Linked DNA regions of Canis lupus familiaris. The protein of the gene in region 4 interacts with the protein of the main gene of each other region in a biochemical or structural test. Links are inferred from orthologs where the notes say so. Each region holds a gene or a part of one and is shown on either strand. Other genes may lie near its edges. The genes, in order: ESS2, PMEPA1, WBP2, NEDD4, PPARG, NDFIP2 and MAP3K2.

Region 1 (3,500 bases), on a different chromosome or scaffold from region 4:
CTGCACTTCTGAATAAGACCAGAGCACTGCGCACAGGTGTGGGTGAAGGGAGGGACTCCGGTGTGGGGCTAGGGCACCAAAGCTATGGCCCTCTGAGCTTGTAGGCCTGTGGGGTGGGAAGGGCCCTAGAACCCCAGTTTTCCATGGGATGTGGTTTGTGTCCTCAGAAGGATTGCGTGCTTGCAGAGAGAGGCCTCCGGTTAGAGAGCATGAACCAGGAGGCACCAGTTTTGTAGAAGTTGTCAGAGGGGGTGTTTCATGAGGCCTGGACCAGGTAGGGTGGGGAAGCTGGGTGCCAGGTGGTTTGTGGAGATCGAGTGGCCTAGGCAGGCCCCAGAGAGGCTTTGGGAAGGCAAGGTGCTCCGGTATACACACAGTTTGTTGGGGAAACTGAGTGACTGGTGTAGTTTGGAACAGGAAGGAAGAGAAGTCGCTGGAAGCTGGGAGCATGCAGTCCTGTTCTCAGGGTGCTGGGCCAACACTCCCTACCTGGATTGCTAGGAAATTGCAGGAGGCAGAAGTCAGTGTTGTTGCAGAGAACAAAGGGTGTGGGGTTACATCATCTGCTTTGAAATCCCAAAGGGTTAGGCATGGAACCTGCCATTAATGTAGGTCTGCCGCGTGGGGAGCTAGGCTAGAGGTTGTCTTGAACTGGTTCCTCTAAACACTTGCAGTGTGTAGTTTGAAATGCAACAGAAAAAGAGATCTTGGGACGCCTGAGTGGCTCAGCGGTTGAGCGTCTGCCTTTGGCTCAGTGCGTGATCCCGGAGTCCCAGGATCGGGCTTCCTGCATAGGGCCTGCTTCTTTGCCTGTGTCTCTGCCTCTCTCTCTGTGTGTCTCTCATGAATAAATAATCTTTAAAAAAAAAAAAAAGAAAAGACAAGAAATATCTCATTCACTGTAGCAGAAGAAGTTCGGACTAACTAGCAGTAACTTAGCTTTCATAAAGAAACCACAGGCTAGTGCTACAGGCTTATGTAAGGAAAATCAGAGAGTGTGGGCCACACTATGCTGCCTCCCCGTAATAGCACTGCTCTCGTTCAGAGAAGGAACACACATCCAGACAGAATGTATGCAGAGGATTTTGGCACCTTGGTTCTTAAATTTGTCTGGGACCCGAGGATAACCAAGAAAAACCGGAGAGGAGCCTGTGCCAGCAGGTGTCAGGGCACGCTGGGGGTGTGGGGATATCACAGGTCTTCCCCTGGTCCTGGAGCCTACCAGGCAACAGGGAAGAGATCATGAACAAACCTCAGTCCAAATCCGAATTCAGGGTACCTGAGAGACGACCGTTCAAGCTGTGCTGAGCAAGAGCATTTGGACATAAAGTGCTTGGTACGCACGGCAGAATGAGTTCCCGAAGTGGAAGGGTTAAGTACAGAAAACGTAAATACAAAACAATAAGAAGACAATAATAGTCAATGTTGTTTTTTTTTTTTTAAACCTCCCATCTCTAAGTGCTAGTTTTTGTTTTTGTTTTTTTTAAGATTTTGTTTATTCATGAGAGACACAGAGAGAGAGAGAGGCAGAGACACAGGTAGAGGGAGAAGCAGGCTCCATGCAGGGAGCCCGATGTGGGACTCAGTCCCGGGACTCCAGGATCATGCCCTGGGCTGAAGGTAGTGCTAAGCCGCTGAACCACCCGGGCTGCCCAGTAGTCAATGTTTAATCTGAGATAAAGGTAGGAAGGAGTAAAGCAAAGAGAGACATCATGGAAGAGATATGGAAGCGAGGTGTAGGTGATACCATGTGAGGTGTAGGCTTAAGTACAGCAAAAAAAAAAAAAAAAAGTCATGAATGACACTGAAAGCAAATAACTGAGAAGGAGTTTGTTTGGCAGAGCTTAATGTAACATTAACTTAGAGTAAAACCTTAAGAAAGCAAGCACTTTATTTGTTTATTTATTTATTTATTTATTTATTTATTTATTTATTTTTTATTCTTGAGAGACAGAGAGAGAGAGAGGCAGAGACACAGGCAGAGGGAGAAGCAGGCCCATGCAGGGACCCCGATGTGGGACTCAATCTGGTGTCTCCAGGATCACACCCCAGGCTGAAGGCAGCGCTAAACCACTAAGCCACCAGGGCTGCCCCTAAGCAAGCACTTTATTTATTTATTTTTTAAAGATTTTATTTATTTATTCATGATAGTCACAGAGAGAGAGAGAGAGAGAGAGGCAGAGACACAGGCAGAGGGAGAAGCGGGCTCCATGCAGGGAGCCCGATGTGGGATTCGATCCCGGGTCTCCAGGATCGCGCCCTGGGCCAAAGGCAGGCGCCAAACCGCTGCGCCACCCAGGGATCCCTAAGCAAGCACTTTTTTTTTTTTTTTTTTTAATTTTAATTTTTATTTATTTATGATAGTCACACAGAGAGAGAGAGAGAGAGAGGCAGAGACACAGGCAGAGGGAGAAGCAGGCTCCATGCACCGGGAGCCCGATGTGGGATTCGATCCCGGGTCTCCAGGATCGCGCCCTAGGCTGAAGGCAGGCGCCAAACCGCTGCGCCACCTAGGGATCCCAAGCAAGCACTTTAATAGAAAAATAAGACAAGGATCTATTTCGGGAAGTTCTGGAAAGAAATAGAGAAGGTCAATGGAAGTTAAAGTCAACAGGCAGTTTATTCTGGTAATCAGAGGAAAGCAGATTCAAACCAGACCGCCTTTTTCCTAAAAGACTGTCGGGTTCGTAAGTTGGCAGTGCTGGCTTGTGGGGAACTGTGAGGACAGGTGGGAGGCCTGGGCCTTTGCGGGTGGGCAGCTCACCAAGCTGGTCAGGGGCCTTCCGGGGGCTTTTAGGGAGGCAATAATGGGTTGTGAGGATCGCAGGGGGCCACGGGAGAGAGGCAGGTGCCCCAGCAGCGAGGGACTGCCTGACCTGGCAGCAGGCCACCCACACACCCACTTGCCTCATAGATCTTGGAGCCTGGCCGCAGGGAACGGCTGGGGCTGAAGATGGCCAACGAGGCTGCCGCCAAGAACCGGGCCAAGAAGCAGGAGGCCTTGAGAAGAGTGACGGAGAACTTGGCCAGGTATGAAGTGCCTGACCCCACCCAATGCAGTGTGGACACACACTGTGCAGGGCAGGCCCAGGGGTCCTGTGCCGGTTCCTGTGGCGGCTCCTCGGGTCCAGGGCGCAGCCTTTATGAACCAGGATGCAGGCCCCTCTGTCCTTTCCTTCAGCCTCCTCTCGGCACATCTCTAGGGCCCCTTGTCCCACTTACGCACACCTGTCAGCCCTGTGGGAGCAGGTGTATTGTCCTCCTTGGAGAGACAGGGTCCATCCAACCCCACAACTAAAGGCAGCACCACTACTTGACCTTAAGTTTGGCTACAGTGCTGTATGGTCAGCCAGTAGTGACCACACATCACCCATGTATCTTCCTGTGGGGCCATGGAAAGCCCTGCTGCTGGCAATACCTGATCAGGCCTAATGGTGCCTCTTTCACCCACCCCTTCTACCCCAGCCTCACCCCCAAAGGCCTGAGCCCAGCCATGTCCC
Region 2 (4,175 bases), on a different chromosome or scaffold from region 4:
CCCGTCTCGGGGAGTAGGTACCAGGTTGAGTTCCTATTTGGCGAGTTCCTGGCACTAGGTAGGCGCTGCCCAAGCGCATGCAAAATAGAGACTGGAGCAGAGGTCCAGGAGGGGCCACACCACATTGTGGAGTCTGGAGGTGTGCCAGGGAGAGGACCTCTGACGTAATAGCTCCGTTCCTTTTTAAACCAGGAGAATGTGTTCTTGTAACACTTGTGTAATTAAAACTTAATGAAATAAAAGGACACCCCCGCACTTCCTCCCCCTCCCCCCGCCCCCCGCCCCCGTCTTTTGAACTCAGGAGGCGCGCCCCCCAGCCGGCGGCCCCTGGGGCAGCAGACGACCGCAGGGGTTTCGCCCCCGGCCCTGCCGGCCGGGTCGCAACTCGAGTCCCAGGACACGTATTTACATGACAAGGGCTCCCGGGCGTTTCTCGGAGCCGTCCGGGGCGTGTCTACACGAATTCCAGCCTTCCCCGGGCGACCTCCTTGGGGTCGGGGTAAAGTGCGCAGCGGGGGGCGCCAGGGGACTAGAGGCCTCGGTGTTAGGTAACGGGTGATGGGGGACCCCCCTCATCTTCTCCAGTTCCCCGTGCCCTGAGTCCAGGGACCTGCTCTGGGAGAGGACAGGCTTCCCCTAAACCTGGGGCGAGGATCCCGGGGACCCAGGACGCACCCGCAGCGCGCGGGGGCGAGGGTGCCGGCGAGCCGCGCTTCCCCGGGCGCCCCGGTCGGGCCACCGGCCCCCAACCGGCCCCAGGAGGGGCGGAGGCGCTGCGCGGCCCCCCGCCCCCCGCCCCGCCGGCCCCGGGTCTACGCGGGCCGCCTCGCTCTGGCCCTTTAAGAGCCCGCCCCCTTCCCCGTCACCCCGCCCCGCGGCCCGGGAAGGGGGTGCGGGGGAACCTCGGCGGGGATTGGCGCAGCGCGCGCCCCCTCCCCGGCCCCCGCGCGGTGGGAACCGGCAGCCCCGTCTAGCGCTGACGTCAGACCGTCTGCCTGCCTCCGACCGCGGTCTCGGAGCGAAACCCGATCTCCTTGGACTTGAATGAGGAGGAGGCGGCGGCGGCGGCGGAGGCGCTCGGCTGCGGGAAGCCAGCGGCGGAGGCTCAGCCCCGGCGGCCGCGCGCGCCCCGGCTGCCGGCCCATTTCCCGGACGCCACCCGCGGGCACTGCCGACGCCCCCGGGGCTGCCGAGGGGCGGCCGGGGGGCGCAGGGGAGCGCGGCCGCGCGCACTGAGCCCCGCGGAGCCCCGGGAACTTGGCGGCGCCCCGAGCCCGGCGAGCCGGGGTGCGCCCTCCCCGCCGCGCGCCTCCTGCATGCGGGGCCCGAGCGCCGGGCGCCGGCCGGAACCCCCCCCGGCCGCCCCCGCGCCCCCCGCGCCCCGCGCCGCGCCGCCGCGCCGTCCATGCACCGCTTGATGGGGACCAACAGCACCGCCGCCCTCGCCGCCGGGCAGCCCAATGTCTCCTGCACGTGCAACTGCAAACGCTCTTTGTTCCAGAGCATGGAGATCAGTGAGTGACCCCGCGCCCCCCTCCCCGGAGGCCCCGTCGGGCTGGGACCCCGAGGCCGGCCGCAGCCGCAGCCGCAGCCGCGGGCGGGGGCGGGGGCGGGGGCGGGGGCCCGGGCCGTGCGCGCCCCCTCGGGCCGTGCGCCCTGCGCCCGGGGCGCGCCCTCCTGGCTCGCGGCAGCTGGCGGCCGGCCCGGCTTTGTCCCGCGGCGCGGCGAGCCTGGCACGGCCCCCGCTGCCCGCGCCCCGCCCGAGGGGCCTCGGACCCGGGGCCGAGCGGCCGGGAGGGCGGCGGGGCGCGGGGCGCGGGAGGGCCGGGGCGCCCGGGTCCGCGAAGTTTCCATTTTATTTCCCCGAGGGGCAGTCTCGGTGGAGCAATTAGGCCGGCTCTTTATCAACTTTGGCTGGGGGGGGGGGCGGGGGGAGGGGGAGGGGGAGGGGGTGGCGGGCGTGTGAGACGCTGTCTGGCCTGCGGGGTGTCTGGGGCCCCGGGTGTGTGTCTGGAGTGTGCGTGGCGCTTCTGTCTCGGTCTGTGCGAGTGGGTTTCCTCGCGTCTGTGGAGCGTGCGTGTCTGTGTGTCTCTGTCTGGGTCTGGCGCGTCTCCGTGGCTCTCTGTGTCTGTGTGTCTGGGTCGCAGTCTGTCCCGGGCATGTGTAGTCTTCCTGCGCCCCTGCCTGTGGCCCGGTCGGGGTGCCTCTTCGGAGCGTGTGCATCGTTCTGGGGGCTTGGGGACCGTTTGTGCCCAGGTGTCTGGATCCAGGGCTCCGCGCCGGTGGGTCTGGCCCAAGGTGGATCTGGAGTGTGTGTCTCATTGTGTGAGTGTCTGTGTCCCCGACGCACCTATAAATAGCCTCTGTCTGGACAGCTTGGCTCAGCCTGGCTGGGACCGTGGTTACAAATGAGTCAAAGTTTGGGGCTGTCTGTGTTTGGGACCGCCTGGCCCTGAAAGGAGGAGATAGACCGAGGGTGGGGAGGGGGTGTTGGCAGCTTGGCACCAACTCTCCCTGTGCACCCAGAAGTTGAGACAAATAAGCCTCTACTTCCGCCATTCGGACCCCACTCGGGTAGAGGTTGGGTTGGGTGGAGCGCCGTCTAGCCTGTACCCCCACCCCCCACCCCCCACCCCCAGCCCATCCTTTGGTGTGTGTGTGTGGGGGGGTCTTACCTCTCTGGGCTTCGGTTTCCCTACCCTCACCCCTAAGCACCGAGGCAAGGGAGCACACAGCCCTCCCCTGCCAGGGCCAGCCTTCTTCCAGCTGGGACCAGGAGCCAGAGGCGGCCACCACTGAGCAGGGCAGTCACTGGGTGACTCATAAGCCAGTTTCCGCAGGCGGCTGCCACAGTGCGTGGCCCCTGAGCCTGTAGAGTGAGGCACAAGAGGTAAAAATAACCCGTGACCGGCCCTGCCGGGGCAGGCAGGCCAGCTTGAGTGGTGGGTCCTTCCATCCGTGAGCGTCCCCTCCCTCCAGCCCCGGGATGGAAAGCCTGCTTGTCCCCAACCACCCCCCACCCCCAACCCCCAAGCCGCCCTGCGCCAGGCCAGCGAGGTGCCAGGAGAACCTGCCCAGAGCCAGCATGTGCGGAACTGAGTTGCATTAAACCAGATTGCTTCCCAAAGGCCCTTTATGAACTCAGGAGGCTAATGAAATGCACGAGGATATTATTAAAATATGTTCGCACATGTTTGGAGAGAGCCTCGCCGGTGCTAAACGGATTGCTGTTTAAGTACCCGAGGTGCCTCATTTTCCCTCTTCTGTAAAGCTGCCTTAGGGCGCTCCCCACCCCAGGGGTCCCCGCTATTGTGTTGAACCTATGGAATCTGTCTTTAGGAGGACTGGACACAGGCATTTTGCTCTTGTCCTTCCTTTGTGTTCAGGACTTTTTTTTTTAAATTCATTCTTATTCCTGTCCCTCGTTAGGCTCTTCAGCCCTGATGGTATTTTGGCTGACACCAAGGTGTTGTTAAATCCATCGCCTTCAACCCGTGTGCTTCCCCCAGGCGGGCATCTGAGCTGGGCCCTGGAGGTTAGCGCCTGGAACCCTGGCCTGCTCCAGCTGGCCCCAGGGTGGTACATGAGTCACCGTGCACAGTGTATTTTTTACACACGGCCCCCTACTTACTGGAAGAAAGCCCAGGGCAGGAAGGGAAATGATCTTTCAAATGCAGGTATAATGTAACAGTTTGTTACAAGTGCTAATCAGATTTCCCCGAAAGGGTCTGGTGAGGAAGCCTGAAGGCCTGGAGTTTCTTTATACAAAAAAGATGGGGAGGAAAATTTGAAGTGAGGAAGAAAGGCCACATTTCATGTGATACGAGCTGGGGGGTTGTTCGCAAGCAGAACGTCAGAGATGGATTTGGAGCTGGGCTGCGGGGCCTTGTCCAGGTGGCCCTTGGTTGGTTCCTTAAATCGCCTTAGTTTCCTCATCTGAAAAATGAGATCTGGACGGTTGAAATTTAAAAAGCTTACCATCTTTCAAGATGGGGCCTCTGCCCTCCCAAGTCTGGCTGGAGGCTTCCATGCCAACGGTGGCTCCCCTCCCCCGGAACAGTGCTGGGTCCCTGGGGTGGTGTACAGTTGCCCCAAATCTCAGAGCTGGGTGGAGCCTTGGCCGGCTCGGGCTTTATAGATGAGCCTGAAGGTGGCAATGGGAAGCTTTGCTCCAG
Region 3 (3,116 bases), on a different chromosome or scaffold from region 4:
ACAGTAAAACGTCTCGGAGTCCAAAGAGCTGTGTCAAGATGTCCTATCCAGGCTCCAGACAGGGTAACCCAGCCTCTGAGATACAGGCCACAGTGACAAGCTAATGACAAGCTTCCTTCCCAATTCCCAGCCTCGGTCGGCCCGGGGCCCAGAGACTTAGCTTAGTAACAAAAAGTAAACAAACTCAAATGAACAAACTAAAACCCACAGGTTTCCAATATATGTTTTCACCCCGCACTTTCAGAGCCGGGATACCTTGAGATGCCACCTGTAGCATCCGCTGTCCAAACTCGATGGCGCCCCCTGCCGTAAAGGTCAACTTGTATGACGCAGCGCCTTCCCAGCCACCTGGGAGGGGAACAGGGCATTACTGGCTCAGGAAAAAACACAGATTACAGCTGAAGAGATGGCTCTGTTCCCTACAGGTCTCCTTCCAGTGCCCGTGGGGAGAGGGCTGGCTCTGCAGTGCCTGCCTTCCCGCCAGGCTGCTTCTGGTGCGCTGCCCACACAGCATGTGCCCGCTGCAGGCTGGCCTGTCTTCTGCTCCTGCCTGCTTCACTCTCTCGAACAGGGGGCTTTTCTTTCTTGGAACTTGTTATCCCACCCCCAGCTGTATAAGTTCCTCAGCGAGAGCCTCCCACTCATCAATGAGGCAGCTTCCCCAGAGCAGGTTTCCTCAGCAACAAGTGACATTCAAGTTCAGAGCATCTCTCTCCTCCTGAGGGGCCTAAGGATGGGCCCCCCGCTCCTCCAGCCTGGCTTCTGCCAAAGGGGAACCATGAGTCTCTAGAGAGCAAGGCCACCTGGCTGGGTGGAAGGGGGAGGCCAAGTTTAACACAGAGGTCTCTGGTGTCTGCAGAAGAGCCTGCTGCCAAGCAGGGCCTCTCCAGGAGGCAGAGGGGCCGCTGGCTCTTCCTGGCTCTAGAAAAGACCATTCCTGAGGGACGCCTGGGTGGCTCAGTGGTTGAGCGTCTGCCTTTGGCTCGGCGTGATCCCAGGGTCCCAGGATCGGGTCCGACATTGGTTTCCCCACACAGGGCCTGCTTCTCCCTCTGCCTGTGTCTCTGCCTCTCTCTCTGTATCTCTCGTGAATAAATAAATCAAATCCTTTTTTTTTTTTTTTTAAAGATTTCATCTATTCATGAGAGACACAGAAAGAGAGAGAGGGAGAGGCAGAGACACAGGCAGAGGGAGAAACAGGCTCCATGCAGGGAGCCCGACGTGGGACTCGATCCCGGGGCTCCAGGATCACGTCCTGACCCAAAGACAAAACGCTCAACCGCTGAGCCACCCAGGCATCCCAAATAAATAAAATCTTAAAAAAAAAAAAAAAAAAAAGACCATTTCTGAGAGTCTGACACGTCGTTTCCCATACCTAGAATGTGAACATGCTCCCCGGTTACGGTAAGCATTTATTTTTCAGTCATTTGGCTGATTTCACTCTGAAAAGGTGACATGAGCTGCTTTTAATGTCAGGATTTCTTAGCTCTTGTCATTCAAAAACCCACCCCTGCTGACCAGCTCGCAGCCCAGGGTTGGGTCCTGGAAGCCAATCCAGAGCCAGGAGGAAGAGGATATCTCCGAGACAGTAGAGGTGTGCCCCAGCACCTCCCTGAGAGCCCATCTGTGGCCCTGAGCCCCCTTCACCCACCTCCTGCTTCAGCTTTCACTGTTCCCTTGATGTAGTTTGCACCAAACACAGGCTGCTTGATCTCACAGTCCTTCATCAGATAAAATGGCATCATGAAAGACTGCATGGCATCCTTTCCTTTGGACAGAAAGATAACCTGCACGGAGACAGGAAGAGAGCCTTCAGTGGCCACACCACGGCCAGCCCGCTCAATTATCACTTCCCAGCAGCCCTAGGGCACACTCTGCACCAGACACTTCCGGAGAGAGCTCTGTAAGTGAGAGGGCCTACGTGCGGCCTGGCTGGAGAGGCTGAACGTGGGTGTTCACGAGACAAACACACCACTCACAGGTCACATGAGAGGGACAGGCTGCTCTGCCGTTTAAGTGGTGGCTGTGGTACGCAAGTGAGGGGAGCTGTAAAGCTAGGGCAGGGGGGCAGGGTAGGGCAGTGCTGACTTCCAGAAGGGGGCTGGGAGGCATAGCCTGAGCTTCACAGAACAGAGTGAAGGAGAGGTAGGGGGTGTTGGGTCCCAGGAGAAGGGGGCTGCCCAAACTGCAAGTCTCCCAGCCTGCACTTGGAAAACTACGTTTTAAACCCTTCAATCTGTGACTGAAGATGCCACCAGAAAAGGGGTTTTGAGGCTCCCTTGTCTCTAAGTTGCGGTGATGAAAACCTTAAAGATATGCCGCTCTCTTCCAACCATCTTTAAATCTAACTCTTGGGACGCCTGGGTGGCTCAGTGGTGGAGCGTCTGCCTTCGGCTCAGGGTGTGATCCCGGGGTCCTGGGATCGAGTCCCATATCGGGCTCCCCGCAGGGAGCCTGCTTCTCCCTCTGCCTTTTTGTCTCTCACGAATAAATACATAAAATCTTAAAAAAAAAAAAAATCTAACTTTTGGTAGCTACAAGCAGTGAACCTTTTCTAAGAATGGCCATTTGTCTTTCTCTGGAAGACTCTCAGTCGGCCTGGCTCAGTCTCAGGCAAGGCCCATCCTGCAGTTGGGCACTTCTCGCTCTGCAGGGCTGTGCTGGGCTTTCCGCCCAGACTGGAGGCTCCGGCCATGCTACTATGTCCTGTTTTCCGTACTTGTCACTCTGGATGTGTACAAAGGCCTTGTGGGCCCTTTCTGCTCTCACAGAAATCAAGGTACAACAGCCCCCTGCTGCCCCAGGCCCCAGTCACCCCAGCTGCTGCACACAACAACATAGATTTTACAGTAGTGGTTCCAGAATTTTCATGGATTCAATGCCCAGGGGTTGGTTCAGCTGCCCACAGAGTCTGCTGATTCTAGAACCTGGGAGCACATGACAGAAACATGGGGAGGGCTGGCCACAGGTTCAGGGGCCACTGGACCCATAAGGCTGAGGCTGACATAAGACTCACATCGGCCTCCAGGAACCATGGGCTTGCAAACCCACCATCACTGTGCAACTCACCCGGTAAGGAGTAAGGTAGACGGTGCCTTTCTTGGTCCCTTTGAAGG
Region 4 (3,500 bases):
AGACCAAGCATGTCAGTTCTTATTCACACATGTGCGCTAGTGACAGGTGTGGTATAACGAGGAAGAAAAAAAGCGACCCCTGACATGCAGGACTTGGCCTGGCACCATCAGTAGAGATCAAGACAAAATGAAGACCACCTTGTAATCATGCCTGAAGACAGAGAAAACATGAATACTGTCGAAGCCACAAAATACCAAATATCTCTCCATTCTGGCAAATGTGAGTGACTACTCCTTTTTAACAAATTATAGCTTTAGCCTCGCTATACATAAGATTTGAGACACCCAATCACAGAATCACCCCTGCTTTTTTTTTTTTTAAGTAGGCACCACATCCAGCATGGAACACAATGTGGGGCCTGAACTCACCACCCAGAAATCAAGACTTGAGCTGAGATCAAGAGTCAGATGCTTAATCAAGGGTATGGGGCACCACCTAGGCGCTCCACACTCTTGCTTCTTGACAGCATCCAATGGTTCCTTAAATCTTCCTCAAAATCACCTAACATGAACTCCAATCCTTCAAGTCTTTTTTAACATACTCTTACTGAGACATTCATGGTGTGTGTTCTTGATGAAATGAGTAATAAACCCAATTTGTTTAATTGCAAGTGTATTCCTGGGGGTCTCTGGCTGGAAGGCACTGCACTGGTTTGTAATGGATATTTAGAGTCCAGTGACCACTTGGATTATCCATGACTTTGCTCCATACTGTTAGTGGAAATATTTGAAAAAATAACCATACTGTAAAGTCTTAAAGTCCCTAAAACATTATTATATGCATTTAAGACAAAATTTTTTCATCACAAGAAAAAAAAAATGTAGCTATGTGAGGTAACGGATATTAACTAGACTTACCGTGATGATAATTTTGCTATAATATCTATCAAATCATTTCGTTGTATACCTTAAATTAATCCAATGTTGTCAATTACATGTCAATAAAACCAGAAATAAAAGACAAAATTTTATGTAAATGTTGGATACCAAATGGAATAATATATAGAATATAAAATCCTGAAGCTACAACAAAATCTAAGGGCATCTTACTGAGCTGGATACTGGCTGGCTGGTGGCTGAGTTTCTACAAATTGTGAGTCTGGCATTCAATTCTTCTGCAAGATGAGTCTGAACATCCAAGTTATTTGATGCTGGAGGTGATGGGAAGGCCTGATTGCTATACATGGTGGCTTCATCTTCTCTTATAATTTCCCAGCTCTAAAATAAACAGAATAATCGTAAGCCACACATACTTTTATCTACTGCTATAATATGTGTCTATGGACAAGAACAAGAAAATTACTTCTACCTCGGAAGACTCTCGATTATCCACACTTTCTGTTTCCTCAGATATCTGCCGTCTGGTAGTAAATGCACGCTGTGCTTGCAGTTGCATGTTACCATTCTCAGCATCAGTTAGGTTGTCCCTGGATTAGAAATATAAAAGCTGTCACCCATGTCTGCAGATAGTTAAAATGATAGTCAAAGATGCTATGACCACTTTTTTTTTTTTTTTTTTGCTGTGACCATTTTATAAAATACCTTAGATCAGAATTCACTGGTTTGGGCCAAAGGCTATTTCAATATGCATAGATTAGGTCATGGGCACATTGGTATCTTCAGGGTACCTTATGGAATTAAGGTTTTATGAAAATGTGTAACACATCTGACTGATATTTTAGTTCATCACCACACCTAGGGTAATGTTTGGCATGTAAGGGCACTCAAAAATATTTGTTAAATAAATGAATATCTGAGAGTTTCATAAGTAATTTTAGTATATTATTATTTTGCCATGCTATTATATGAATAAAATCTAGAGTAGCTATAGAGAGACTATAAAAAAGAAGCTTTAAGATTTACATATACAGCTTCAAGAACCAGACAGTAACATTTTCTGGAACTGATCTTAAGCCAAGACTAGAGTTCCCTATGCATGAACTTAGAGGACAAAATGAAATATCATGTAAGAAACTTAATAGGTTACAGATTAAATAGTATCTGTTTTTGATCATTTATAGAAATGGGCCTGGTCTGAAAAACAATAATAGTAAAAACATGACTGAGTTTAGGCAAGTTTAGTAAATCAGACTGAACACCATTATCCCACTGAGTATTATTATTCTAGCTATTTGAATTTAATATAACCAGATCATCAGATCAGATTTTATACAAATATTTAATAACAAAATTATTGTTAATTTATTTAATGCCATATAAGTCCAGGGTAGTCAAAAGACCAGCTCTTACTGCACTATTGCTAAAGAAGACTTAATTTTGACAGATGGTCATAGGGGAATACTTCAGATTTTTCTCACCTGAATACCTGATTTAGGCTAGCTGAAAGTGACATCAACCATAGTGAAAGAAATGTGAGTCCGTTCAAGTCAGGCTTGCTGTAATACTAAGGTATGCAGTAGGACAATTTTGTAGAGTTTCATAGTGTCTTCAGTTTTGCAAGGTGCACAGGTCCCTACAAAGATTGATGCTTCTGTGCCATGAAGAACCAGCATCACTGATTTGGTTTGGAAGGATTTGAGAACAGAAAATATCTATGAAAGTGCTTAGACTGTGTCAGACACAAAATGCGAGAGCTAAAAATTAGAAATTAATGGACAAATAAAAATTTTAAGTCTCTGTCAAAAAGTAGACTAATGAAAGCCTTCATAAGGCTATAAGGGAGGAGAAATGGAAGGGTATTTGATAATAAATGTGAGTAATGGGACATATGTGTTTATTTATAAATATACAGTCTGATGATAATAAAAGAAAAATGTCACTGAGAAGACATAAATTAGAATACCTCAAAGGTCATTCTATCCTTGATCTGTGTGCACTGGAAATTATGTATGTATTGACCAGATTGGCAAATGAGTGTTTAACAAAAACCTTGTTATTCAGTCCTTTATATTTTACAGGTAACTTATATGTAAAAATAGTTTACTGTAGAAATTAACATTTTATTATATTTCAGTAACAAACTACAAAAATTTCCAAGAATTTCTAAACCAGTCTAAAGAGAAAAACACATCTTCTGTGGCTGCAAAATAATTTTTAAAAAGAAGCAATTAGAAGGGTGGCATTTGTGACTCAGATAATTTTGAATGTTATCAAATCATTTTAAAAAAGAAATTGTTGGGCAGCCTGGGTGGCTCAGTGGTTTAGCGCTGCCTTCAGCCCAGGGCATGATCCTGGAGACCCAGGATCGAGTCCCATGTCAGGCTCCCTGCATGGAGCCTGCTTCTCCCTCTGCCTGTCTCTGCCTCTCTTTCTCTCTGTGTCTCTCGTGAATAAATAAATAAAATCTTAAAAAAAAAAAAAAAAAGAAAAGAAAAGAAAAAAGAAACTGTTAAGGTGGCATTTTAAAAGCCCTGGACCATAAAAATCCTCATATTTTTATAGTTTATGGGTTCCTATACTATTATAAATCCATTTGAGACACAACTAACTTCAAAATGAAAATTAGTGGTCAAAAGTGTATTCAGATTACAAATGTGAAA
Region 5 (4,226 bases), on a different chromosome or scaffold from region 4:
TATTGAACCAAAAATGTTGGACTAGTCACACTTTTAAATATTATGATTGTGTCTGTAATACAAGGAAATTTCTCAGCATTGAGAGGGAAGGAGAAACTCCTTTATTGACAATTCAAGCTGAATAACCTAGTTCTACACACCTATAATTACCTCAGTCATTTGGACTGTCAAGGAGCTTGCTTTAACTTGAACTACCTTAGTAAAAGTTTCTTGGTTTTCAAAGGCTTTTAAGCAATATCAATGCCCAGTTCTCCACTTTATTCTGTGCTGTTGAGACCCTGTGAGCATTTTCCCCACCAGGCTGTTGCTGTGTGATTAACAGGGAAACTTTTGTTAGTTCCCCTGCAGGATGACCAGTTAGCTACTCAATGTAGATTAAATAGATAGACTTATTCCACTTGGAGAATACTGGGTTAAGTTGAAGGGAATTACTGCCATCTGGTATATCGCCCTAAGTGGGGGCATCTTTATTACATCCACAAGTCACTGCAATTCTATCAGGCCACTTATGTGACAAGTGGGGACCTGCTTCCATGCTGAAGTTTGGCACGGCTTGTGTTTCTCCTTGCCAAAAAGGGCAAAGGACTTGAGCAAGAAGCCAGCTTTCTCCTGATTACAAAACTGACCACAGTTCCTCGCCAACCTATCAGTGTGAGTCAATTTTTTTTTTTTTTTTTTTGGCTAATACATTATTCTTCTCAGAGAGAACTCCACTTTTTTTCATTATGACATGGCATTTATCATTTAAACATCTGCTATGTTCAGACATGGGTACAGCAGTACTGCCTTTGCCTAGTGATGGATAAACTTAATAATCAAGTGACTAAAAAAGCAAACCCTGATACACGACATCTAAACTATATCTCTCAACTACTTAATTTTATAGAATTTGTTAGTATCATTTTGGCCTTTCTAAAGTTGGCAAACAAATGCCTCAGAAAATAACATTTCAGCAGCATGCTGATGCCAAACTTTAAAATACAAGTACATGTTTTAATTAAATAGTTTTCTTCAGATAATAACAGTTTAGAGATTCAACCAGGGATGGGCAGCTACAAAAAAATGTTGTTGAAGTAAGTTTATCTGGTACTTCATAACCCAGAGATGTAAAGTTTAAGAAACAATTGAAAATTGAACAATCTCTTTGCTCCGATAGCTCTAAATACTGTACAACTCACACCCCTCACAAGACACAGAACATGTGGGTCACTGGCGAGACAGTGTGGCAATGTTTTCCTTGTAATGTACCAAGTCTTGCCAAAGCAGTGAGCAACATCATGACACAACATTTGTCACAGCTGGCTCTCTAACAGGACAGTACCAGCCAATTCAGGCCTAGTCCTTTGTGGATTTATTCCCACCTCTCCCAAATATTTGGAAACTGATGTCTTAACTCATTGGTTGTGTTCACAAGTTCTACTACTGCAAGTCTTTTTCTTTTAATGGATTGGTCTTTTGCAAGAAATAGACAAAATATCAGTGTGAATTACAGAAAATCCCTCTTCCATGCTGTTATGGGTGAAACTCTGGGAGATTCTCTCATTGACCCAGAAAGCGACTCCTTTGCTGATACACTGTCTGCAAGCACTTCACAAGGTAAAGTCAACTCCAGATACGGCTCTTGGGTTACTTTGGGCATTTATAGAATGGTAAAATTGCTCTTGTCGTTTGTTTTCCAAGTTACATTCTAGTATGAGTTGTGTCTAGGCCACTATTTTAATGTCTACTTTGCTGTGTTTGTGTTCACTTATAAGCATCAGAGCTTTGAAAAAGAAGCCTAAGCTAATCCATATTTATCTCTATGCATAGCTCCCATTTCCTGAATTTTAAGCATTAAAGGTATGTTTATATTTTTAAAGATCCTATTCATTTTTATTTTCTAGTTTTATATATTTTCCTTTTTAAAAAAATAATTTATTTATTCATGAGAGACAGAGAGAGAGAGGCAGAGACACAGGCAGAGGGAGAAGCAGGCTCCCTGTGGGGAGCCTGATGTGGGACTCGATCCCAGGACTCCGGGATCATGCCCTGAGAGAAAGGCAGATGCCCAATTGCTGAGCCACCCAGGTGTCCCTATATATTTTCCTAAATATACTTAAGGTCTTTTTAGAATACCTGGGGTGGGGGGAGTGTCCCTTTTCCCGTTTTATAGTCTTATGGTACATATCTCTCAGGCGGCTTTTATCCCTCCCACAGCATTTTTATTCCTCTTAAAGCTCTCTCAACATGTTTTTGTTCTACTTTGAAATCTAGATATTTGTACATGTTATCTTTCCAGAGAAGTGTACACTGAGTGTAAAACCAGCTTATAATCTTCTTTAGATTTCTTAGGATACCTAGCATGGTGCCTAATGCATTATAGAATAAATAGATTGTGGGGCCTCGGAGAATGTCTATTCCAAGCATTTCATTTTACACACAAAGAAAATAACATCCCTAAATGCCTATTGCATACTAAGTAAATGATTAGCTATTACTTGCACTCAAATATATAAGATTCAAGCAGATACCTCATTTTTCAAAATTCCTTTCTTGACCATTGCAAAATATAAGTTCTTCATTTCTACAGCTCCTTCTACTGGAGTTTCTTAGCACAGCTTCTTCTGTTTTGTACTGTTTCATATTTATTTCTATATTTCTGGTTATTTTTTCTCATAGATACTATGTAAAAATAGATTGTGTTAACTAGTGTGATTTGTGTTTTATAAAATAAGTGCTGAAGTGTTACAGTTAAGTCACTTCATTGTTGAAATGAATGCCTTTACATTTCAATGTGTTAATTTTTCTGGAAGCCTGAAGTTTGAACATACTAATCACTTGTTTTTTGCTTAAACACTTGGCTGTTTAAAAATTAAGAAAAAATATTTCCTGAAATACTATTTCATTCTCTTAGGGTGATTTGATTCAATATATATATCTGTCACCTGAGCCTCTTAAATATGAGTTTGGTTTCATTATATTATATAAAAATATGTTATTCTTTGTTTCTAAAAGCCATAGAAATTATTACTATCTTTCTCCAGTTATTAGTTTAGCCTGCTGATATCAGGATAGATGTGAAATAGTCCTTGAGTCAAAATTTGATAATTTTGTCTGTTTGCAAAAAATGTGTTCAGAATGTAGTGCAATAAATATTTTAGGTTAACTGAGGAAAAATACTGTTTATGGTAAGAGATAGTTATGTGATTCCAGTTAGTTTTCATTCTGTACTGATCTCTATATATTTATGTCTTGGATTTGCCCAGGGCCTAATTGTTTTGAGTCTCAAATCCCCTTCAAAGGAATAACTCAGTACTTTTCTTCTTAATTAGTACAGAATAAAATTAATAGCAATTAAGAAATGACATATTGTGCCAATTATTTAACTTTTGTTTATATGGTCTCTGATTACTTCTTATTCATGTTGTTTTTCTGTTGAAAATGTTATTCCTAAAGGCCAAACACCTATGATTGTTAACTTCAATTGCATTTAGACATATAGGGGGGCCTGAGTGACTCAGTTAAGTGTCTGTCTTTGGCTCAGGTCATGGTCCCAGGGTCCTGGGATGGAGCCCCACCTCGGGTTCCCTGCTCAGTGGGGAGCCTGCTTCTTCCTCTCCCTCTGCTGCTCCCCCTGCTTGTTCTCTCTCTCTGTCAAATAAATAAATAAAATCTTTAAAAAAAGAATTTAGACATAATCGTCATTTGCTCTTTGAGCCTATCAGAGATGAAACACTGTAGAGTTTAGGTACTTGGCTTTAATACAGTAATTAATTTAGGTGCTCCTTCTTCTTTAGACAAGGTGGGATTGGGGGTTGTTGCAAGTAGCTCGGTGCTACTTTGAAGTAAAAGTGGCTTGTTGAGTGTGAATGATCCAGATGTCCAAGCCATATGGGTCATATTCATGAGATTCAAAAATTTATGTAGCCACTATGCCCAAAGAGGACTTCTGTGCTTTTCCTGGGCTCCATTATCACAGTGACCTCCTGCCTTTATCTTATTCCCCTATTTTCATCATGAGCTTCTCAAGTAACCCCAAGTAACCCCATTCTGGCTCTGAAACCATTTCCACTAGTAAAAATTGGCAAGACTGAAGGGAAGCTTCCACAAACTGAAGCTGAATATGCCTCCTGCTTTTAGTGCCAGACTTAGTCCTGTGTGAATTCTATAATTTTAAAGTGTTGCACCAGAGCATTGAAAGATGATGACATGCTTGTCCTTTGGAGCTGATTGAGCAATGGAAATAT
Region 6 (3,500 bases), on a different chromosome or scaffold from region 4:
ATAATAACCATTGGACACAATTAACTTCAACTATTTTGAGGTTTTTCTAGTAATAACTTTTTTCAGGGCAGGGATTGTGCTTTATCTTTGTATGCTAACATCTTAACACATTTATGCTCATGGTGGGAATCCACTTCACATTTTTTTAAATGAAATTAGAAAAAGAATCCGCCAGGGGGCTGTTCTTACACTGGCTCAGGTTTTAATCATCTCAGAAGAAGCCAAGTCATGTCGCACCCAAGAATCAACTGATTAATAACCAAAATCTATAATTTGGTCTGAACAGAGATGAATGAGGTCTGATAAAATTACTGAAACTCTGGGAAGCCATAACTTCAAAAATAATGAAGAAACACATTAAGTCCAATATTAATTTTTTAAATCAATTTGCTGATGTAGGTACATAACTGAAGTGTCTGAAGCACTTAAGAGAAGCTGACATTAAGTATGTGATTCTACTGAATATTTTAGGAGGATGTGACTCACTCATTTAGAAATCAATGTTTAAATAAATATGTTTGTAGAAATTAAGCATTTTATCAATTGTATAGTAGCATGTAAATATGTGGGTTACTTTTAAGAAAATTCATTAAAAAAATAAATAAAATCACTCTTTTTTTTCTTTAAGGTAAGCCCAATGCAGGGCTTGAACTCATGACCCTGAGGATCAAGATGTGAATTGAACTGAGATCAAGAGTTGGATGCTTAACTTACTGAGCCATTCAGTGCCCCCAAACCATTCTTGATCATTCTCCTAGGTCTAACATAAAGAAATTAGGGAAAAGGCTTTGTAACAGGAACCAAAGGATCTAAAAGGGGCCTCCAAGAGGCAAAGGTAAAGAGTGGGGGAAGACTATGCAAACAGGGCTACTGCCACTGGAATGGTTACAGAAAATTATTTTGGGACAAACTGTTGATATGGGATAAAGACTTAGCATTATCTCCCTACACACCATGTGGTAAGTGCTAAGAAGTAGATAAAGGGTGAATTCCAGGAACAACAGGGAAATAAGAAAGGTGGAAAGGGAACATAACAGAAAATGGGTGAGTTCAGATAGACACCTCACAGGTCTTAGTTTTTTGAGCTCTCAAAAAAGAAAGAGTGAGAAGATGAAATTAAGTCCTTGAGAATTTTACTAACCAACAGAAAATGTTATGTTTTACCTGATTTTAGGCATGTGTGCACTGTATCACAGCAGATGCAGCCACAGCTTACCAAGCACCTGTATTTGTGCAGCAACTAGGCAAGTGCTTTAATTATATTACTGCTAGGCCTCACAGAAATCCTGAAAGGCAGCTAATACCAGCTTATTGGGAAGAAATTCTCAGAACAATTTAAAAATTTAAAGTTAGGACACTGATATAAGTAAGATTCAAACTCAAATTTTTTTCTGATTTCAAAGCTCTTTCCATAGTAAGCTCTCATATAATAAAGCATCAAAATGTTAACACAGAGATCACTACAATAAGTATAAAAGATAAGCCTCAAAATAATTGATTCATATATGTAAAAGGAATATTTATGAACCACACAAGAAATTTCATAGATTTTAATTTTAGAGATCAAAGTGATAGAGGCTATTAAGACACTCACCCTAACAATAAGGATCCATTTGATCAATGAAAGTCCAAATCCACAGATGGCACCATACCTTCCAGCTATGGTATTGGTGATACAGAAGGATAAACAAAATCCAAGCCAGTTGAAAATAAATGCCACTAAAAGCAAGAGAAATAGTTCTTTTAAGGACCACACTTTGGAAACAAATTAACAGAGACATAATATTAACAATACTTCATTGCACAATGGAAGTAAGAATTCCCTTTCTTTTGACTTTGTACCAATTAAATCTTCTTTATAGGCCGTAGTTTACCTTTTGCAAATATATTGGTTATTAATTACACATTAACAAACAGATAAGCTTGGTTTCTTGTTAGTCTGGTCAACAGGAATCAATTCCTTAAAACTTATCAATAGGTAAAACTGCATTTTTAAACCAGCTAAAAATCAAGTCATAATGTAGCTCAGCTCCCATGTGATCCCACCCAAGAATTCCAGCCTAAGCAATCAACTAACTAAACTGGATTTTTTAAAAAGCAATATTAAAGATAAGCCAAACAAATTATAAAATGTTTCCAGAGGAGGTACTGTTCATTGCCTCTTCCTATCTAACAAAACCTACTTTTACCCCTTTTCTGGAACCCACCCACCAACAGAGTCTTTATTTTAAGGAAGGCTAGATCATATACTTAACCCCAAAAGAGAGGGGTCCTGAGTAGTCTGGGAAAATCACAGGAGCCCCTGCCACTTTTTTTTTTTTTTTTAATAGGACTTTGAAATGCATTCTTTGGTTCTTAAAAACACATCAAGGAGACAGAGGATGGAATATAGGTTAAATAACAGTGGCTCTAAATTGATCATTGTTGAAGTTGAGTGATAAATACATACAGGTTATACTCCTGCCTAGTTTGAGAATTTCTACAATAAATGTTAAAAAGAAAAAAAAAATCCCCCTTATCCACTGGATTTCTAATTTGAATATAACACCTGGAAATGCTGCAGGGATTTTGCCCTCAGCCAGAGGATTAAAGTATAACTCCACATGGGCTAGAGAGTGTGAAGAGAAAGAAAAGCAGAGCCACAGAACTAATACTTGCTGTGGCTGAGTCTGCTTGTCTATCCCCTTGTCTATGGATTTTCTGTTTTGTGAGATAACCACCTATTTAAAACAGCTGAGTAAGGGTTTTCTATAACTTGTAGCAGAAACCATTCCGACACAGGTCCTTGAGATATCATCAGAATGCGCTATCTGTGTGTGTCTAAGATAATAATAGAAATGATAATAAAAGTGAAAATCAATTTGAGCAGGACTTTGGTCCTGTTCAGTGCCCATCCTCTTATCCTCAATATCTCTAACTAACCCTCAGGGAAAACATAGAGAAATGCTGATTTTTCAGGATTCTGAAGACAAAGAGGAAACATTTTAGAATAAATTTAAATAAAATAGCTATTTATTCAAAGCAATTTTCCTACTCCTATAATTTCTTCCTTCCTAATGCCTTCTAGGCACAGCTTTCTTGATCATTTATAGTAAGCTATATTATATGATACAATAGGAGAATGCATTTTGAAATTAAGAGACTTGTGTTTGAATCACAATGTGACATGTATCACTCACTAGATACATGACCTGGGACTCACTGCTTACTTCTGTGAGCCAGTTCTCTGATCTGTACGATCTACTTCACAAGGCTGATAAGAGGATTAAGTGAGATAATGAATTTAAAGGGCTTAGCACAGTAAAGAACCTGGCACAGTGATTGCTAAGAAATGTTAACCATTATTAGTACCCATATTTTTTATACAGTAGGTTATATCTTTTCCGGAAAAAAAAAAAAAAAACACAAAAAAAATCAGGAGATGCTACTGGAAATAAAACTTGCTTACACTCAATTTTCTTTTTTCTTATACTAGATGCTGATTTTGCTATCTTCTACCT
Region 7 (3,500 bases), on a different chromosome or scaffold from region 4:
CTGCAGTAAAGATTAAAAATAGTGCATCTGACAATCAGTGGTACCTTGGATTCAGTGAAAGATGCTTTACATTTTTAATGGGGAGCAGATATAATCTCACTGGAAAAAAGATGTGGGGATATATGAACCTTATTTGTGTTTAGAATTCTTGGAAAATTTACAAAGTGGTGATCATTATGAATTTGGATGATTATGATTTTCCCTTATATCCAAGTGTATTCAGTTAAGGATATCATTAATACAGTTTACTCATTTAGTTTGTAACTATTTGTGTGCCATCTGGCTATTCCATTTTAAGAAAACATTCTTTTTTAGCACCTCGTGCTCCAACAAACTGGAGATTGGGCAAACTGCTTGGCCAAGGAGCATTTGGCAGGGTCTACCTCTGTTATGATGTCGATACAGGAAGAGAATTGGCAGTTAAGCAAGTTCAGTTTGACCCTGATAGCCCTGAGACCAGCAAGGTAAGAATCACTGCACAAGCTACTTTGTCACATTTATAAAAAGCATTTTTACTAAATATAACACAATAGAATTTTTGTTTTTTCTTAATACAAATTATTTGCAAAACAAATCCATATATAATTAGATATATTTGTTTACTCTGTACTGTGATTTTTTTTTTCTCTTTTAGTGCTCCGTAATGTTCCTATCTAATTTAGGGTTGCTTTAGTATACCATCAAGGACTGTTATAAAAGTTACTGTTTAGAGACTTTAAAATGTTTATTCCTTGGGAAGTAAAAATTTCAGAATGAAATCACCTCGATGGTCCATGAAGTTCAAATGTTTTCCTTTTAACTAGCAATGCTATAAAGACTTAACAGTGAGTTCTGTCTTTCAGGAAGTAAATGCACTTGAGTGTGAAATTCAGTTGTTGAAAAACTTGCTGCATGAGCGAATTGTTCAGTATTATGGCTGTTTGAGGGATCCCCAGGAAAAAACACTTTCCATATTTATGGAATATATGCCAGGGGTAAGTTGTTATGTCCTTTAAAAATAGACATTTTCTCTTTAAAGTCTTAGTTGAGGAAAGAAAAACAACAGAACTCTGATTATAAAATGTAAAGTAGTTAAGGACTTTAAAGACATTTTGAAAGTTTTAAATTAGAGCTATGTAATATAATTTTTTTTTGTATCTTCATTTTGTAGTTCTTAACTCATTTAAAAAAAAAAAAAGCTGAGGTATACTAAAGTTATAGGTACCATAGCAGTCCATACTCAGATTTCCCTAAATGCTCTTAAAATAACCGTAATAGCTGGTTTATCCAAACCAGGATCCAGCCCAGGACCACACATTACCTTTAACTGTTATGCCTCTTACTTCTCTTTTAACTTAGAACATTTTTTACATGACATAGGTTTGACAAAGAGACTGGGCTAGTTCTGTTGACAATCTCCTCTCATAGATTTCTCTAATTGCATCCTCATGGTAGTGTTTAATTTGTTCCTTTATTCTCTTATTTCCTATAAACTCCAAGTTAGATCTAATATCTAAATTAGATTAAGATTCAGCATTTTTTATTAGGTGCATCTGTGATGCATTCTAATGATGCTGTGCATCTCGTGTTGCATCGCATTAGGAGACATACAATTTCTAATGGTTCTACTGTTAGTGATGCAAAGATTGAGTGCTAGGTTAGGATGATCAACATCCAGATTTCTCCAATGTAAGGTTTTGTTTATTCCTGAGGACCAGAAAGTAATCTGGGCTATTAGCACATAAGACTATCTAGTTCCTGGGGTGCCTGGGTATTTCAGTCGGTTAAGTGTCCAACTCTTGGTTTCAGCTGACATCATGATCTCAGGGCTTGTGAGATTAAACCCTGCACCCTACATTCAGCTCCATGCTCAGTGGGCAGTCTGCTTGAAGATTCTCTCCGTCTGCTCCTCCCCCAACTCACATACTCACGTGCTCTCTCTCTCTCTCTCTCAAATAAATAAATCTTTAAAGAATAAAAAGAACACAGTTTCCAGTTCCTTTTCAAACCATCCTTTTCCAGGTTTTTAATACAGATTGGTAATCATTGCCTGAGTCAGTAGTTTCGGTAGGAGCTGCAAAATGTGACTTGCAAACTGTCATTCCTTCTATGTTGTTTTTAGTATTTGTAGAGTACATTTTAGTATTAATGATTTTCAAGATGGTGGTATATTTACTCATTTAAAAATACATGCATTCGTATAATTTAATTGGTAGTATATATGGTATATTACCTGATTTGATTTATGGGTCTTTAAGTAGATTTTTTTAAAAGATTTTATTTATTTATGAGCGGTACAAAGAGAGAGAGAGGCAGAGACATAGGCAGAGGGAGAAGCAGGCTAACCGCTGAGCCACGCAGGTTTCCCTAAGTAGATTGTTTATTAGAATTGTATGTTTCATGTACAAGGTTGCAGTTTAAGCTATGGATCTGTAAAACTATGGATCAGTATCTGATAGTCATAGTCTTAATCATCCAGTTTCATAAGATCAACAGTTAAGTTTACTTTCTTATTATCATGAATAATTAATTAATTTTTTATAGTGACACAATTGTTTATAGTTACACATCACTGCTACTTTGTATTTTCAAAGATCCTGTTGACAAAGTAAATTAGTTTGTTTTTTAAGTACCTTTGGAAAACAAATTTGTGATGGAAATATCAGTACTCACAGTGAAAGTAAATTATGATGGCATTGCCCAAGAGAATATATTAAAATCACGAAGGCTATGTAGCAAAGTTGGAAGAAGTAAGAAAAAGAATATAAAATGCTTTTAAATAGTAATGAGGCTATTTTAAAAATATCTGTATTTGGACAAGGACCCAAGAAACTTGAAAATGTGTTATGTTGAGATTATGATTGATTTTTCTTTTATTTAGATTTCCATTACTGTTTGGGCAATAAATATCTGAATTAGAAATAAAAATTAAGGCATGCCTGGGTGGCTCAGCAGATAAGAGTCTGCCTTTGGCTCAGGGTGTGATCCTGGAGTCCCCAGATCGATTCCCACATCAGGAGCCTGCTTCTCCCTCTGCTTGTGTCTCTGCCTCTCTGTCTCTCTCATGAATAAATAAATAAAATAGTTTTAAAAAAAGAAAAATTAATTCTAAGTGTGAATAGAGACCCACATTATTGAAGATAAGATTAAATGGTTTAATTGGCTAGAACTGATTTACATCACAAATGGAGATGAGTAATCTTATAGATTTAGGAATCTTAAGACTAAGGTGGTGTATTCAGGAGAGATGTTAGTTCATGTTTCTCATTAACTTTACTTGGTTTTGTAAAGGCAGCTATCTCTTCAAAGTATAGGTTGTCACTGAAATCATTTTACTAAATTAATAATAGTTCATCAGTCTTAAAATGAATTACACATATGCCAAGCATAGGCATATATGGGCCAGATGTACATCATCTTAGACATTACTGAATTTCTAAGTTTGTGAATGATGCTATATAATTTTTCTCATTAAATTTAGTAGGATGGGGGTACCTGGGTAGCTCAGTGATTGAGCATCT

The links.
Region 1: the proteins of NEDD4 (region 4) and ESS2 interact in a test that uses a peptide from one of them, tested with the Homo sapiens proteins (2 studies listed by BioGRID and IntAct, with this or other methods). The link is inferred for Canis lupus familiaris from reciprocal best matches to the Homo sapiens genes NEDD4 and ESS2.
Region 2: the proteins of NEDD4 (region 4) and PMEPA1 form a complex in vitro, tested with the Homo sapiens proteins (2 studies listed by BioGRID, with this or other methods). The link is inferred for Canis lupus familiaris from reciprocal best matches to the Homo sapiens genes NEDD4 and PMEPA1.
Region 3: of the proteins of NEDD4 (region 4) and WBP2, one has a biochemical effect on the other in vitro, tested with the Homo sapiens proteins (6 studies listed by BioGRID, with this or other methods). The link is inferred for Canis lupus familiaris from reciprocal best matches to the Homo sapiens genes NEDD4 and WBP2.
Region 5: of the proteins of NEDD4 (region 4) and PPARG, one has a biochemical effect on the other in vitro, tested with the Homo sapiens proteins (2 studies listed by BioGRID). The link is inferred for Canis lupus familiaris from reciprocal best matches to the Homo sapiens genes NEDD4 and PPARG.
Region 6: the proteins of NEDD4 (region 4) and NDFIP2 form a complex in vitro, tested with the Homo sapiens proteins (3 studies listed by BioGRID, with this or other methods). The link is inferred for Canis lupus familiaris from reciprocal best matches to the Homo sapiens genes NEDD4 and NDFIP2.
Region 7: the proteins of NEDD4 (region 4) and MAP3K2 form a complex in vitro, tested with the Homo sapiens proteins (2 studies listed by BioGRID and IntAct, with this or other methods). The link is inferred for Canis lupus familiaris from reciprocal best matches to the Homo sapiens genes NEDD4 and MAP3K2.

The regions. Positions count from the first base shown.
Region 1 is NC_049247.1:30,206,461-30,209,960, forward strand, and holds part of ESS2 (splicing factor ESS-2 homolog), read left to right. Parts: intron 1-2,914; coding exon 2,915-3,030; intron 3,031-3,465; coding exon 3,466-3,500. UniProt on the Homo sapiens protein: May be involved in pre-mRNA splicing.
Region 2 is NC_049245.1:43,400,093-43,404,267, reverse strand, and holds the start of PMEPA1 (protein TMEPAI), read left to right. Parts: upstream 1-1,375; 5' UTR 1,376-1,405; coding exon 1,406-1,514; intron 1,515-2,675; exon of another isoform or gene 2,676-2,790; intron 2,791-4,175. UniProt on the Homo sapiens protein: Functions as a negative regulator of TGF-beta signaling and thereby probably plays a role in cell proliferation, differentiation, apoptosis, motility, extracellular matrix production and immunosuppression.
Region 3 is NC_049230.1:5,627,245-5,630,360, reverse strand, and holds part of WBP2 (WW domain-binding protein 2), read right to left. Parts: coding exon 3,070-3,116; intron 1,788-3,069; coding exon 1,652-1,787; intron 349-1,651; coding exon 256-348; intron 1-255. UniProt on the Homo sapiens protein: Acts as a transcriptional coactivator of estrogen and progesterone receptors (ESR1 and PGR) upon hormone activation. In presence of estrogen, binds to ESR1-responsive promoters. Synergizes with YAP1 to enhance PGR activity.
Region 4 is NC_049251.1:21,460,888-21,464,387, forward strand, and holds part of NEDD4 (E3 ubiquitin-protein ligase NEDD4), read right to left. Parts: intron 1,428-3,500; coding exon 1,310-1,427; intron 1,219-1,309; coding exon 1,051-1,218; intron 1-1,050. UniProt on the Homo sapiens protein: E3 ubiquitin-protein ligase which accepts ubiquitin from an E2 ubiquitin-conjugating enzyme in the form of a thioester and then directly transfers the ubiquitin to targeted substrates. Specifically ubiquitinates 'Lys-63' in target proteins.
Region 5 is NC_049241.1:6,278,951-6,283,176, reverse strand, and holds the start of PPARG (peroxisome proliferator-activated receptor gamma), read left to right. Parts: upstream 1-1,426; 5' UTR 1,427-1,514; coding exon 1,515-1,596; intron 1,597-4,226. UniProt on the Homo sapiens protein: Nuclear receptor that binds peroxisome proliferators such as hypolipidemic drugs and fatty acids.
Region 6 is NC_049243.1:32,872,612-32,876,111, reverse strand, and holds part of NDFIP2 (NEDD4 family-interacting protein 2), read right to left. Parts: intron 1,720-3,500; coding exon 1,595-1,719; intron 1-1,594. UniProt on the Homo sapiens protein: Activates HECT domain-containing E3 ubiquitin-protein ligases, including ITCH, NEDD4, NEDD4L, SMURF2, WWP1 and WWP2, and consequently modulates the stability of their targets. As a result, may control many cellular processes.
Region 7 is NC_049240.1:24,633,169-24,636,668, forward strand, and holds part of MAP3K2 (mitogen-activated protein kinase kinase kinase 2), read left to right. Parts: intron 1-315; coding exon 316-464; intron 465-842; coding exon 843-974; intron 975-3,500. UniProt on the Homo sapiens protein: Component of a protein kinase signal transduction cascade. Regulates the JNK and ERK5 pathways by phosphorylating and activating MAP2K5 and MAP2K7. Plays a role in caveolae kiss-and-run dynamics.